4 linked regions of the Schizosaccharomyces pombe genome follow. The protein of the gene in region 4 interacts with the protein of the main gene of each other region in a pairwise test. Each region holds a gene or a part of one and is shown on either strand. Other genes may lie near its edges.

Region 1 (4,146 bases), 1.5 Mb from region 4:
CTTACCTTATGCAATAATTAGGTTATTCAAAAATATTTATGAAAAAGAAAAACAGATTCAACAAGCAAAAATCAGAAAAAAAATTGATAGTCTTGAGTTTTGCAAGGCTGATTATGAGTTTATGTCCAGAGATCCGGGAGTGGAAATGTCTTTAAAAAAAGGAGATATCATAGCAATTCTATCTAAAACAGACACCCAAGGTAATCCTTGCGAATGGTGGCAAGGAAGAAAGAGATCTGGCGAGACTGGGTGGTTTCCTTCAAATTATTGTTCAATCATTTCAAGGTAACGTTACGATATTTTGTTTGAGGACAATAAAATGTCTGAATCCCGTATAGTAAACGAACTTTTTAGTTTGACAATTTATTCTACTATTCTCACAAGATATGTAGACAAACATCCTTTCTCTTGATTGCAGAATTTCACGCATTACTTGCACTTGTTTATGGGAAATGCCTGATCATTTCTCTCTGACGACTAATGCGCAGTTGTAAAAAGTTTTTTGATAGTACTACCCACGATTTATAAATTCATAGTCTATTTATTGATATTACTCATAATAAGAACTAGAGAAAACATTTTCAAGTATTTTATAATTAGACTAAGGCTTTTAACAGAGTCGCTACTTTGAGTCAAACTTTGTAAACAAAATATGCTGTATTAGTGAGTATATATATTGATATATTCATTTACTTCAGTCAAAAGTCCACAAAGGAACAGGAAGTAGTTTATTGCAACTTCTATGCGATTCTTAAAATAAGAAAAACTTTTGACATTTTAGCAGTTTCATTAGTCTTCATTCTTCGCAGTTGGTGATTCAGTTTCGGGAGCGTAAGAAACGTCTATCTTCTCAGTCTCAGTCTCTTGCTTAAACTTCTCTTGCTGCTCTTTCTCAGCTTCCGTAGTTCCAGTAGATAAAGAAGCCGGGGAAGAGGAAGCAAAGAAATAAAAGTAACAAGTAAGAATAACAGCGGTTAAAGAGCCAAGAACGGCAACAATTGCAATCCCAATTTCAGGAGTCTCGATGATGGTTTCAACATAGTAGTCAACTTTTTCGGCAACATTTGGAGGAAGTTTAGCTTTAATAATATCATATACGTCAAGAAACTTCTCAAGAATTTGATTAGACTCTTCGTCAACATGCATTGATTGCTTTTCCATGGACTCTTGCTTAGAAAGTAATTCTCTTTCAGCTTTCAATTTAGGTAGGAAAGTTTCATTTCCAAGACGTTCAGCGTCCTCAATTGAATGGCCGACATAGATATTGCTAAAGCGGATGTTGGGCTGCATAGTCCAAAGTTCGAAACCAACACCGTAGAGTGGACCGAAATGAGAAGGATGATCATCATCAAAATAGTCAGGGTTAGGAATTTTACGAGGATACCATTCACCAATGAATTCAGGATTAGGGATCATAGGAGGAGACCAAGGGCCACGATAGTTAGGGTTACGAATCATCGGTGGCTTCCATTCACCACAGCCAGCACCTTCAATGCATTTAGGATTGATGATTTCACTTGGAATCCAATCACCATCTTCTTCATCATCCCAATCCTCAGGCTTCTGAGCTTCAGGATCAGGAATGTAAAGAGGTTCATCCTCTAACCAATCCTCAGGTTTCACTGCGTCAGGATCAGGAATCATACGGGGAGCGTCTTCATCCCAATCATCAGGCTTAACCGCATTGGGGTCAGGAATTTCAGGTTCGTCAACCCAATCAGCAGGCTTGATATCTTCGGGATCGTAAATTTCAACGGGAGGAAGAACAGGAGGTATAAAATCATAAAACAAAGATCCTTGACGGACAACATCGCCATTAATACGGACTTCGAAGGTTTGGTCAGGCTTCACAATTAAAGTGTAAAGGTTTGTAATACCAGGTTTCAAAAGGCTGGCGGGTCTAGAGTCGAGATGCTTCTCGGAATACTCACCCGTAAGGGGATTCTTATGCTTGAAGATAAAATGAACACGGTCATTAACACCACATTTGTCGGGTCCAAACATGATTCTGTAATCGATGGAGTTTGACATTTCACCATGAGTGGGTTCTGCTAAGAGCTTTAAATATGCACCACCACAGTTCAGACCCTCTTCGGGGTTAACCTCATATTGAACTACCAAATCCTTTTCTGGTTCATTTATGGGTTCATCAAATTCATAAGAAATAGCATGATGAGCGGCTTCGTCTTTCATAACGAGACCGGCTTCACCCTTAAGGGCACCGGGACCAGAACTTTCCTCAACAGTCCATTCACCTACATAGCTCATTTCTTCAATACCATTTACAAATCGTTTAGCATGTGAAGGAATCCAACGTTCAGACCATGCACCTTGAAACTGCTCAACAAGAGGCGCTTTCACTTCAGTTGGGTTAAAAACCAAAGGTTCTTGTTCGGATTCAGGATCAGCAAGTGATCCCCGAACATATAAAGAGCACAAAAGCGCTAGAAAAGATACCTTTCCGTACTTCATTTCCACGTGTTGGGTGGTGTAGTTGATAACTACGGTGCGCGGTTTTGCGTGTGTTTTGGTAGTACTACGGCTTTGATCGATGAGATGGATCAGCAAACATAATCGAAAGAATAATGGAGAAGGTTCCGGAACGAAAAACAAATCGCATTAAACTTAGATGATTAGATTTGAAAGACCTATCTGGTAAGTTGTATTTGCATTAGATCTTTATATTTATTTTACTTCTTACTTTGTGAATTACGGAGCGCAATGTCTTGCTATAATGAAGGTTGCAGTAACATGTTTACAGTAAACGTTTGCATTTTAATATACTAAGTATTTGGCTTTAATTGTTCTCCCCATTAAGTAAAAAAAAAGAGTAATGCAAACAATGAGATAAAATAAAAGTTTACAAACTATCACTAGTCATAAAGCCTTGAAAGCGCTATACTCGTAGTCTTTGAATCTTCAATCATTAGAATATGCTTTAGTCTGACGCATAACAACTGTCAGGTATCAAACAAGTTTTTTTATTCTCGTACACCATTAGCTCAAAATTGGGACAATCACAATATTTAATATGTTTTTTTTTTAAATAGTTTATAGTTAGCCTTTAGCAAAATCTCAAATAGCAAATATTTTTTTAGCAAGTCCATCATTATTAAGTGCAAATATCTACCGGGTTAAAGAGAAAGATGACTATTGTCTTGGTAACAGATTGAAACATGAAATCTATGAGAGTAATATCTATTAATAAAAACACACCGCTTTGCACTTCGTAAATTGCTTTCATACTCTAGTATAATAAGTTTTACAACATCTGATACATATAATTTTTATTAAAGAGTTAGTTAGTAAACAAAGATTTGTTGTTGTGATAAAACAACTATTTTGTATTGAGTATATTTATTCATTGTTTTGTTTACTTTTAATTTTGATTAAGTAGCAATGTTACCTCTAAGCAGTTCGAGCAAATACCACTTTACCAGTACCCACCTATATTCATAGGATTAGTACACCACGGTGCGTTTGCTTGCTTTCAACTGTATTTATTATATTTCTTTTAAATTTTGTTTAGATGAAGATCTTTAATTGATAATCTAAAAACTTAATTGGAAAGTTGAGACTTGACCATAGTAATTTCATCAATAGTTACCTCAATTTTGGATATTGGTTAACCTTCTTTTAATTCTTCTCCCTTTCTCACTGCTAGTATAACATATATCAAATCAAATAAGCTGGAAAATTGGTTACTTGAGTACTTAATTTACGATCTTTTGTCGGCAGCAAATAGATATATTCATTTATCTACGAATTGAATTTTTTGTTATCCCCCTAATACTTGATTACAATCTTTTGGTTTCAAATTGTCTCTTTCTTTTTATTCCTTATACCACGTCAGCATTTTCTACGTTCCATTTTCAACTTTACTCCTTCAAACCTTATAGCTCTATTTTTGTCATCGAGAAACTTTTGAATCTTTTATTAATATTCCTAAATTTTCCTCTAAATGTTTCCTCTTGGCAGTGTCGTTGAGGTAATAACCGGAGAGCGGGGGTTTGTCCGTTATGCTGGAGAAGTGGAAAACCGAAAAGGTGTGTATGTCGGCTTGGAGCTTTTACCTGAATTTGCCGAGTTTGGTAAAAACAGAGGCGTCGTTGATGGTCGTGAATACTTCAAAACTAAAAACAACGA
Region 2 (4,293 bases), 3.1 Mb from region 4:
ATAAACTACACGGAATATTAACAAACGAAGAGTGAGTTTGCAAAACCTTGATATTAGTCTGTGTATAAATATAAGTGAAATCACTTACCTTGTGCAGCTTTGTTAAAAAGGAGATATAATCGGGCCATTGTTCTACAGTTTGGAATAAAGCTATGCATTTTCGTATGGCGTCTTGGTATTTTCGATATTTAGCATCATTCGAAGCGTCTAAAAGTTAATGTAAGATCATATTAAAATCGTACCAATTATAGTGTTCATAATACGCTCATAAAATACGGGTATAAATTCAATATGACTGCATAGAAACTATTGCACTTGTTGGTTAGTTGGCAAGGCTAGGAATAAGGCTAAGCTACGCTAGCATATATCTGGGGTATAGTGAGTTAGAAGTCTGTGACTTGCAATATGTGCTTCTGAGTATTTATTTACGATAAAACTGTAAACAATTATTTGGATGGACTTTTAAAAAAGTCACAAGTAAATTTAGTAATTATTCATTCTTTTTGTAAATTATACCAGAACCATTATTTTAAAAACGCGGTATGTGCTATTGTTACTAATACTCAATCCCACAGTAAGAACCTCACAAAATTGAACAGGTAATTTTCCAAATAATTACTGATGATTATTACAACAAACAAGTATTAAAAAAGTACGAAATAAAAAAATTAGTAATGATCCACGTATTTTTTTTTTAATACTAATATTCAGCAACGCAAGTTAATTCCTTCTTCTTCTTCATTTACGCGAATTTGAAACATGATTTGTACAGCAGAGAAGAACATTATAAATGCTGCTATCGCGGACATTGCACCTATAATAATTAGTTATACAAATCCGAAAATAGATAAATTTCTTACCTTTGAGGGTCAGAAAAAATGAGACAAGAACATTTTTAATTCCATCAATTCCAACTGCGAATCCAATCAAGTTGCAAATGATCATAAAGTAAATATTTAGAGCAGCCCCAAATCCAGAGATGTATCTATAGTAAGGGTGCTTAGTAAGACCAGTTCTACGCGACATAAAGCAGCATAATCGTTCTGGAAGAATAAATAGTACAATTAACCAACCCCACGCAAATAATTCCCAACTGATGTCATGCCAAAGAGCGACAAAGGTGAATATAATAAATAAGTTCAAGATTGAATGATTACTTCCTCCTAAAGGAACGTAAATATACCTAATCAACCATCGATTGAAACTACGGTGCCATGCTCGCCAAAATCCAACAGCTGAATAGTTGTTACACATGCATCGAACTATGTTTTCGGGAGGTTCGATATCATCAATTAATGACCATAATCTAAATAATCGCCACGGTATAAGCAATTTTAGCCAAGTCATAAATAGAACGATAAAGCTTATCATTGCGGATTCAACCGCACTGTATTGATTCCAATTTCCGTCCTTAGAAATAGCAGTAACGTATGCATAGTGAAGTAAAAACTCCATGGTGAGAACACATACTAAAAATCGAATTGCATAAAGAAGGTTCCTGTATTTTAGCGTTGAAACTGTGGGATATTTCATCTAAATATTAGCAGAAAATTTAATTAAACAATTTACCTGGGACATAAAATTGTTGAACGAAATGATAGGGCCCGCTAAATATAAAGGGGCATAAAAAATGTATGTCAAAAAATTCTTAAGATTATAATCTTCATCAAGACAAGAATAATCAACCCTTTCACGAAACGTCAATGTTGTTGGCTCACGATCTTTGTCAAATATTAGAGTCTAATGGTTATTATTTATAAACTCAAAAGGCATGTGCTCAAACTTACGTTAAGTTTTTCAGAGTTGTGCTTTAAGGACCAGTAATAATCCATATTAAATGACACGAGCCGAAGCATGGTAATGTTAAAAAGAACATACCAGCGCTCAAGAATCCCAGTATATTGATCCTGTAAAAAGATTAACATCTGATGGCTAAAGATAGCGTACCAAAAACCCTAGGCCTGGATGAAGGCTAGAAAATTTGCAATAGGCAAAATATTCTTTAAAAAACACCACTGATATATCTAATGTCCATGTCAAGAGTGGATTAAAAATACTGTTCTTTAGAGACTTAGAAATGAGATAATTGATCAATGCAATTGTTAAAACATATATAACGCCAGTCCCGTAGACAAGTAATGCAAACAGCAGGGAGAAGCAAAGTCGATAGTTGTTTTTTATAGCGAGTTCATCATTAGTATTTTTTGTGAAGACAAGCTTAACGAGTCTCCAGAGAAAATTATAGACAATAATTACAAGTAGTAAGATTGGCATATTTTCACGAAACGCGGAATACTGAAAATCAGCGGAATCGACTTTTTGTCCAAACAACCACCCAGGCTTTAAATATTTTTCAATGTTTTTGTAATTGGGATGTTTTGCTGACGCCTAGTTAGTTGCTTACTTTATTTCAAATTGATAAATAGAAAAGGCTGATTAAAGCTTTTGACACTTACGAGAACTAACATAATGAATTTTAAAACAAGCAATTGTTAGAATCGATAGAATGACAGAAAAGTAAAAAATAAATTCTATGGAACCAAAAGCGCTCTTTTCCGGAACTGCGCTTCGAACGGTCAAACGTGAAGATGAAGATGGATGACTTGAACCAGAAGTCGAACTTAACCGTGAACTTTTAGAATTGGGTCTTTCAGTATCTTTGGTCGAAGTCTCAAGAACATCAAATCGAAATAAACGTAACATCCTAGAAGTCTCCTACCAACAGCAAAGAAGATGGTCGGTTCTCAAAATATCATAGAGTAAACAAACCTAGTGGTGTTCACTAGCAAAATGCAAGACACTGCGTAATTTACACTTTGTGTCAGCTTCATAGTCCGTAAATAATTTTAAGAGTAAGGTAGAGAGAGTATGATGAAATCAATTATATTTTTAAAAATAATAAATTCAGTTTGTATTGTTTATTGGAATGAATAAAATAGTCAGCACTATACAAAACGCGCTATTAAAATAGAAATATTAATTAAGCATCTTTAAAGACTAAATTTTGATTTTGGTAAATTAGCAACTTATATATTGAAAAATGTTTTACATTCGTTTGCAATAATTCTGTATAGCCCATTTAGATCTCTAAAATCGTTAATTTTTATAATTAATTAATTAATTTATTTTTTTTTGGATATGATTTGCTCAATGATTGCTAAATTATCACATCTAGTCTAAAAATTCAAAAGATAATTTCAAGTTAACAAGCTCATATAATAATTAAATGTTCTATTAGAACGTCGTATATATTGACCAAAGTATTACAAAAATAAATAAAAATAATATATACTATAGAAATTAAAATAAACAATGACTATATCTTGCAATTTATATGCTCCTAAACCCAATTTGATCGCTCTCCTAGTTCATTTGGAAGAATTGGAAGAAGATGATTTTGCTGGTCGAATTTTAAATTGAGGGGGCTTAAATTCTACAACATTGCCATTGATTACTTGACCATAGCCTTTTTTAAAAGTTTCCCCTTTCTTAGCTAAAATGTCTTCAATCGTCACCCGTTCTTCAGAGAATATTTTTAAATGATCAGCCATCAAGTGCCGATTTTTGCACTTAGGACATTGAACTAAAACGGTCCCATTATGGTAGGCCTGCTTGGAGAAATTGTGATTTGACCTAGTGTTACATCTTTCATTTGGTTAGTATCCTTCAATGAAATTATAAATACTTACACGGTACAAGTAAAAGAAACATTATAAGTCGGTTTAGGTTGTAATTGATCAGCATCTGATTTTACAGAGGGAACACCACTTGCAAGATCTTTAGCATCGCTTTGAGTGAAGCGTTTGCATTGCCAATTAGAAATGTTTCTCACATTCGGGGAACAGAAAAGTAAACTTGAAACCTTTACCTTGTTTGAAAAATTTTTTAACTGCAAATTTCGTAAACAGAATTTTTGAGTATACCGTGCAAAGCTCCACATTATGTTTGAAAAATTTTTGTGTTCGGAGAATGTTGTTCGTAGTTAGTACCTTCTACCACCTTTTGTACCATTACTTCCGTCTGTGCTGGCGTTTCTTTATGCAAACTCATATGCCCATATATTTAGCTTTTTTGTTGAAACTTAACTTTAAATTCCATTATTAATGCAGCGGTCAGCGAAGTTAAAAATTCGAGCGCCACGAAAAGTAAGTGTACCTGATGCATGCTGTCCTTATTATTTTCCTCACATACTGACATTTAGTTTTCTGCTAACCAAGTAGACTTTGCTACACATTGGGAAGTCTTGCAGCGAGCTATTGGGGATATATTTCAGAAAAGCACATCTCAATTATC
Region 3 (3,661 bases), on a different chromosome or scaffold from region 4:
TAATTCCTTGTATTTACAAAAGGCATATCATGATGGTACTCTTCCAAAACCCGACACTGAGGCTGAGATCATTCAGCCGGTTTTTATTCATCCTAATGCTATTGTTAGCAAAGGTGCAAAGATTGGACCCAATGTTTCAATTGGTGCTCGTGTTCGCATCGAGGATGGCGCACGTATTCGAAACTCAATTATTCAAGAGGATTGCGAAATTTCTGCCAATGCTGTTGTTTTACATTCCATTCTTTCCCGCCATTGCAAGATTGGTAAATGGTCTCGAGTCGAAGGTTCTCCAACTCTTCCAAGCCAGCACTCCACTACGATTATGCGTAACAGCGTTAAAGTCCAAGCTATTACTGTTATGGGCGCCGATTGTATAGTCCATGATGAAGTACGCGTTCAAAATTGCCTTGTACTTCCTCATAAAGAAATAAAGGTTGGTTTGGTTGGTGAGATTGTGATGTAAGATACTACATTTAACCTTGCAGCAAACTTGCTTTTTATTATATCTACTTGACTCTCCTTTATTATATAATATACATTTATTAGCTGATGCAGAATGCAGATTGTTAAATGATTAAGATGCGTCTTGACAGACCAGTTAAATGACATTAAGTATTATTCTAGAAAAAATCCTGAATTTAATTGTTATTAGTGATTTGTTTTATTACTGTCAATAAGCATCTTCTGCAACGTAAGACTCTGCGGGATCAATATCATTGAAATCAATGTTTTTAGAAGCCTCGTTATGCATTGATATTTGCCAATCTGGAAGGGAGGCAGTACCAACCTTTTTAGTTTGAAAACCTTCTGAAGTATCTAAAGGATTCTCTAATACTGGTATCGAAGAGTTTGATGTGGTAGCGAAAGTGTCGTCTTTTTTTGAATCAGTTTGTAAACATCGTAGAGAGCTAATTTCTCTCGAAAGGTTTTGTAATGCTTCTTCTTGAGATTTCTTAATTTGCTCAAGACTTTGTGGTAAAGTAATAGTACTCATGGTATATACATCTTGTGAGATTCTAGCTATTTCACGATCTCGGTTTTCGGACGTACGCTTCAAAGTATTCAACGTCTCTTCTAAATCATCTAACGCAATGTCCAATTCATCTTGCTGTTTTTCAGTTCTCTCGGAAAGCTTTCTTGTTTGTTCATCTAAATTTTCGAGTATTTTATGAGCTTCTAGAAATTTAGCATCCAAAGCGTTTTTATCAGCTTCATAAGCGTTTTGAGATGGTGCGCGAAACATTGGTGCTATGTATTTCTAAATTTAATTATGTTAAAACAGCACGAATATTTTAAATGTTCAGTTTTTTGAACGTACCTTTACTAATGAATACGCCGACCATGCAAATCCAGTCGAAATAACGCCCATAATAAACCAATCTCTCCAATCTCTTGAAACAAAATTACTAGTGTTTTCAAATCGAGGATAAGAAGGGAATAGCGGATTTTTTGCTAGCTTGAATGCTTCTTGAATTTCTTCGGCAGTTAAACCTTTGGATTTTAGAAATTCAATCTTTTTCACATCAGGAGCATCTAATACAGTTTTTTCTCTTAAAAATTCAACGGAGTTTCTTAACAAATCCTCCCTCATTTTTCAAATTGACAAATGCTTTGTACCGAATTCGCTAGTTAGTAGTTGTATGGAAATAAGCAACTGAAATATATTGAGTAAACTCCGGACTGCAAGATAGTAATTTCACGATAATTCTCTAAACAAGCTTGGAAATGTCGAGGTTTATGTTTTTTTAAGAATGGGATTACACAATTGTTTAATTTGTCAAATTAATTTGTGAAAGTACGCTAATGAATTGTTCTGGTTATATTACGCCGAAAGTTATTAACTGACAAATTAAAGAAAAAATTGTTTCTTATTGTTTGGTGGTTTAATACAGTGTTAAATAAAAAAATTATTTTTCGAAAGTTCAATAGAAGGAACAAAATATTGACAAAACAAGTAAGCACATGATATATATGTAATTATGGTATCAATCATTCCTAAGCCCTAAAAACAATTTCTATTTTATTAAAAATAACCATATTTACATTATCTAGAAGGCCTAACCTGTCTAACATTGAAGTTCACTCGCTTTCTTGAAATCCATCCATCCCAAGCCTTGTTTCCAGTCAATAGGTAATTAGGCGTAGAGTTGGGTATAATCTTAGGAACAGCTGCGGTAAGTTAGTAAGCAATCAATTGACTATAAATGAGGTATTTGAATGAACAATGCTTACCATGGAAAGCCTTTCTAGAAGTTCCAGTCATAATTACAACGTCTCCACTGTGTAAACGTAAAGCTGAAGGCTTTTCCGACCTCGACTCGGTACCGATCAAATATATGCAATCCAAACCCATTGAGAGAGAAATTAATGGAAGTGTCAAATCCTCTTCAGATTCATCGATATGTGCACTCAATGTGTCACCAGGAGAATAAAAATTTACGATTGCAGCTTCAGCTTTCCAATGTAAAAAATCTGTGCTCTCTTTAACAACCTTTTCAACAAAGTCACCTAAATCTTTGGGAAACCCAGGAGATTTGGAAGGATCAGGATACTCCTTCGTCGTCCAGTCATACTGTTCACCTAGTGTAACCCATCGAAGCTTTTTATGAACTAGTCTGTCAACCGTCAAAGGCTTAGTTTCTCCAAGGCCGTCAATGATACTTTCTCCATCACCATTGTAATATCTGCGCCATATGCTATCATTACCTAATGGTAGTTGATAAAATGGTGAAAGGTTGGTCTTGTTTTCAGGATCTTGAATTTGCGTAAACATTATAGATTTTAACAGCTGCATTTGCAGTTCCGATGAAACATAGTTTTTAAGAATTAATAATCCAGGAGCTTTTTGAAAAGAAAAAACTCTAGGTTTAATTTCAACTAAAGCTTCAAATCCAAAAGACTGGGGATCATTAGGATCAAGGACCTCAGACATGTCAGGAATTGTGTCGGCACGACATTTATAGCGTTTTTCTTCTAAACGAAAAACATTCGCCTGTTCCATGTTTCCCGCTAGCATTTCAATAAACTAACTTTATGTGGAGAAATCGACAGATCATTTAATAGAGACTGAATGAAAAAGTTTAGGCCACTTGCAAGGTTTTTCTCCCAGACAGTCATAGATAATTAAATACAGTAAGAACCATAGTACAACTTAATTCAATTTTTACCATAATGCGTAATATTTATTACCTTTACATCTTTTATACATATTCTCAATTAATATACTTTGGCATATTTTAAATGCGAAGTTCTTAAATACGCTTTAAATGGTTAACCCTTTTAAAGCAGCAAGACCCAACAATACTATTCATTTTACCGAAAAGTGGTATTTTATCATACAAAAAATAGAAGAAACAGGCAAACATTCGAAGTTGTTAAAGAATAGAACACTTTTATACGTAACTACAAATTGAGTTATAATCACTGCCAAAATTCCCTATAAAACAATTCGTATAAACACAGTGTCGTGAATGAAAAAAATAAGAAGATTTTACTTTTAATAAAGTGATGGGATCAGTTTAAGACTTGAATGAGATGAAATGTTTTTTATAGTAATTTATTCATTTACGTAGGTCCAATAGAAAATATACCGATGTCAATCGATTTTGTTTTTAAACTCGCAGTCTGAAAATATCTTAAAGTAACCTATGTCAACAATTCA
Region 4 (3,715 bases):
AAATTCCTTTGTATGTTTGATTTAATTAATTAATTAATTTTGCTTTTTTTTTTTATTTTTATATTCTTTTCGATTAACGCGACCCGCCGCAATACCTTAATCACCATTTGGCGGGAATTTTGCTGAGCGATTATAGCTGGTAGTTTTTACCCAAAGGAGAAAAAGTCGCATATCAGTAGATGATGCTTTTAAACTGCTATAAAAGGTAATCCTACCCCCGTTCACTTTGAAGCGATATTTGAGCGTTCAGCTTAATTGAACATTCAGGACTTGAAAAAAACCTGTAGTGATCATTCTAATTCAAGTGTATAGGTAGCAGTAAGAAGTTGCTAAATTATACATTTTGTCTGTCTGCGAAAAAGGCCCAGCTCATAGAGAGATATTTCGCTTAAAGGTGGTAAAACTAGTGTTATTAACTTACTTTCAACAAAAGACATTTGTTTTCGCATTGTTCCGGTTATACTTGTTATTTTAGTTTAAGACGCTTTCCATTGAGTGTCTTCTTTTCTTTCTTTTTATCGGCTCTTATCCTTTATTGACAGATACCTAAGATACTTCTCAATATTTGGCTAACGCTTCTTGCAACAAAATGAGCTTAAGTAAGATGAGTATGAGTGGCATGAGTGGCATGGGTATGGGTAGCTCCAGTAACTCGAGTGCTGCGACATGTCGCATGAGTATGCTATGGAATTGGTATATACATGACTCGTGTTTCCTGGCTAAATCCTGGCATATCAACACTGGAAACAAATTCGCCGGTAGTATTATTGGAATTTTTTTCTTCGCCGTCGCTATTGAAGGTTTGTCCCTCGTTCAAAGAATGTTTGATCGCTGGATTGTTGCTCACTCTAATGGCAAAACTTTAAGTGGACCTCTGCGTATCTTCTTTCCAAGTTCCACTGTGCATGTTACTGTCTGGCAACAACTAATACGAGCAGCCATGTATTCATCGTTTTACTTGTCCGCTACCATCCTCATGTTGATTGTAATGTCGTTTAACGGATATGCCATTTTGTTCGGTTTCGTAGGTGCTTGGATAGGATTTTTCCTTTTCGCGAGTGATACTTATGGAACCCCATCCACTGGTACTGGATGCTGCGAATCAAGATAGTCATATTTAATTGTACAGGGGTATTCATAAGGATCCGATTTTAATGTACTATTAATACTTTTTACGATTGTTTTTGTTTGGTGTTGGGTTTCGATAGTGTGTTTTATGTTTTTCTTTGTTTGCTTATCAGGGATTATATTCAGACTTAGAAATAATAACTTTTTCTTTAATTCAGTTTAATATATCTCCTCTATCGGTATGCAAAAACTGGTAGTTTACTAAATATGTTGTTGATATGGATGCAAATTTATATGATGGTACAAAATAGTATATTCTCTGCTCAGTATGATTCAAAGTTGTTCCTTGATTTCTTGTGAGTGCTTTAGTCATCAACAAACATCTGTAGCTCTGATCCTTGATTTACGTTGAATGATTCCATGTAGTTCTTTTCTTTATAACGAATATGGTAATCGAGCTTCAGCAGGCCAAAACATATTATACGATTAGAAAATCCATTTAAAGGAATTTTTTTAATTATGAAATTTCAGCATACCGTATTTAGCATTCTACTAGCATGGCTTTACGAATCCTTGATAAAAAACTTACTTAATTGTTATATTGCTAGCGTATCAAAAATAGGAACAAAACATGCTATACACTATTAATTGTAGTTGCAATGTACAATTATTAAGTCTTTAATTAAATTTTTATCTCTGATCGTTGGGAACTGATCTGCCGCGTACTTAGGATCTTCATTTTCACTTGCAAACTGTCGTAACACCTATCCTCAGCATATCGCATCGTGCATCTGGTCAACGAGAGTCTATAAGAAGACTAGCTTCAGATTAAAAAAAAAAATTCTCTAATAAAGTAAAATGTCCTTCGACCCATTGCCTGGAACCTTAGAAAACCTTCTTGAGCAAACTTCCTTAAAATGGATTTTTGTAGGAGGAAAAGGCGGTGTAGGAAAAACAACTACGTCGTGTTCATTGGCCATTCAAATGTCAAAAGTTAGATCCTCTGTTCTACTTATCTCCACGGATCCTGCTCACAATCTTTCTGATGCCTTTGGCACGAAATTTGGAAAAGACGCTCGTAAGGTTCCTGGTTTTGATAATCTGAGTGCCATGGAGATCGATCCTAATTTATCCATTCAGGAAATGACAGAGCAAGCTGACCAACAAAATCCCAATAATCCTTTATCTGGAATGATGCAGGATTTGGCTTTTACAATACCAGGTATCGACGAGGCATTGGCATTCGCTGAAATCCTTAAGCAGATCAAATCTATGGAATTTGATTGTGTCATTTTCGATACCGCTCCTACTGGACATACGTTAAGATTTTTGAATTTTCCAACTGTTTTGGAAAAAGCTCTCGGCAAGCTTGGCGGTCTCTCCAGTAGATTTGGCCCTATGATTAACCAAATGGGTAGCATAATGGGTGTAAATGCCAATGAACAAGATCTATTTGGAAAGATGGAAAGCATGCGTGCTAATATTTCTGAAGTTAACAAGCAATTTAAGAATCCAGATCTTACTACTTTTGTGTGTGTATGTATTTCCGAGTTCCTTTCTCTTTATGAAACTGAAAGAATGATTCAAGAACTTACTAGTTATGAAATTGATACTCACAACATCGTTGTTAACCAACTTTTGCTTGATCCCAACACCACTTGTCCCCAGTGTATGGCTAGAAGAAAAATGCAACAAAAATATTTGGCGCAAATTGAAGAGCTCTATGAAGACTTTCATGTTGTCAAAGTACCGCAAGTTCCAGCTGAAGTTCGCGGTACTGAAGCTTTGAAGTCTTTCTCTGAGATGTTGGTCAAGCCTTACGTTTATCCTACTTCTGGCAAAGAATAATGTATTTTTTCAATCTTATCCACTGCTGTTAATAAGGGTGTCAAAAGCCTCTAAATGTATATTTTTTAACAAATTGATTGACAGCTTGAATATGCATATTAGAATGGCTGTTTCTAAGTTTTTACATTACTTTTATTTTGTTGAAGAATTCTTATCGTTTCCTCAGTTGAGCTTGACTATTTGCCAAAGCAAATAAACCAAAAGCGCTAGGTTGATACACTGTTTAATGATTAAACACAACAGGATTCTGAGCACACTGTTTAGATTAATATTAATCAATTTGACAAGATATGAACGTGTCTGGAATAACTCAAAACATTAAAAAGTTAACTTGAACTAACAGTCATTTGATACAGTTGTTTTAGTAGAATGAAGAAGACGTAATATGTAAAATTCTTCAGCTAGTTTTTCCGTAGATTATTTAACTACACCAATTATTAAAATACAATGAAAAAACACACATCCGAACATGAGGACGGAGACCTATAAGTTATAGTCTAATAATGGTATTGTACATAAAATTTGTATTTAGGCTTCCATGATGACTCATAACAAGGAAAACATAGAATACTAACAACTGACAAATTAAATAATTCCATAAGTTATAACAGAAACCTTAGAAGATGACTTTAACATATTGAGAAAATAATAAAAATACCGAGCAAGCGTACTGGTCACTTTAAAGAGAGAATTCAGCCTGTAGTTTTCGAAGTTCTTCTTCTTCATCCAATTCTTGAGGCTTTGAAATAGAAGGGAGGTCTTTGACTTGAGACGGGACAGCAGGAACAGCAGGAGTGTG

Evidence for each region.
Region 1: the proteins of get3 (region 4) and cnx1 interact in a two-hybrid assay, tested with the Schizosaccharomyces pombe proteins (one large-scale study listed by BioGRID).
Region 2: the proteins of get3 (region 4) and gup1 interact in a two-hybrid assay, tested with the Schizosaccharomyces pombe proteins (one large-scale study listed by BioGRID).
Region 3: the proteins of get3 (region 4) and pex14 interact in a two-hybrid assay, tested with the Schizosaccharomyces pombe proteins (one large-scale study listed by BioGRID).

What each region holds. Positions count from the first base shown.
Region 1 is NC_003424.3:2,085,826-2,089,971, forward strand, and holds cnx1 (calnexin Cnx1), read right to left. Parts: upstream 2,500-4,146; 5' UTR 2,473-2,499; coding exon 790-2,472; 3' UTR 568-789; downstream 1-567. Other genes in the region: pex13 (peroxin 13), read left to right, coding at 1-289; CLIP170 family protein Tip1, read left to right, coding at 3,962-4,146.
Region 2 is NC_003424.3:488,426-492,718, reverse strand, and holds gup1 (MBOAT family O-acyltransferase), read right to left. Parts: upstream 2,740-4,293; 5' UTR 2,704-2,739; coding exon 2,457-2,703; intron 2,382-2,456; coding exon 1,948-2,381; intron 1,908-1,947; coding exon 1,788-1,907; intron 1,741-1,787; coding exon 1,570-1,740; intron 1,534-1,569; coding exon 861-1,533; exon of another isoform or gene 815-860; coding exon 708-814; 3' UTR 538-707; downstream 1-537. Other genes in the region: dop1 (family protein DOPEY), read right to left, coding at 1-46, 89-207, 243-258; TIM23 translocase complex subunit Tim15, read right to left, coding at 3,369-3,645, 3,690-3,940; cul3 (cullin 3), read left to right, coding at 4,104-4,145, 4,202-4,293. UniProt on the Schizosaccharomyces pombe protein: Membrane-bound O-acyltransferase involved in the remodeling of glycosylphosphatidylinositol (GPI) anchors. Acts only on GPI-anchored proteins, but not on free GPI lipids.
Region 3 is NC_003423.3:3,730,762-3,734,422, forward strand, and holds pex14 (protein Pex14), read right to left. Parts: upstream 1,639-3,661; 5' UTR 1,592-1,638; coding exon 1,319-1,591; exon of another isoform or gene 1,259-1,318; coding exon 671-1,258; 3' UTR 536-670; downstream 1-535. Other genes in the region: mpg2 (mannose-1-phosphate guanyltransferase), read left to right, coding at 1-463; abh1 (alpha-ketoglutarate-dependent dioxygenase), read right to left, coding at 2,045-2,169, 2,233-3,001. UniProt on the Schizosaccharomyces pombe protein: Component of the PEX13-PEX14 docking complex, a translocon channel that specifically mediates the import of peroxisomal cargo proteins bound to PEX5 receptor.
Region 4 is NC_003424.3:3,635,176-3,638,890, forward strand, and holds get3 (GET complex ATPase subunit Get3), read left to right. Parts: upstream 1-1,834; 5' UTR 1,835-1,926; coding exon 1,927-2,916; 3' UTR 2,917-3,215; downstream 3,216-3,715. Other genes in the region: Cu transporter complex subunit Ctr5, read left to right, coding at 590-1,111; ESCRT III complex subunit Vps32, read right to left, coding at 3,596-3,715. UniProt on the Schizosaccharomyces pombe protein: ATPase required for the post-translational delivery of tail-anchored (TA) proteins to the endoplasmic reticulum. Recognizes and selectively binds the transmembrane domain of TA proteins in the cytosol.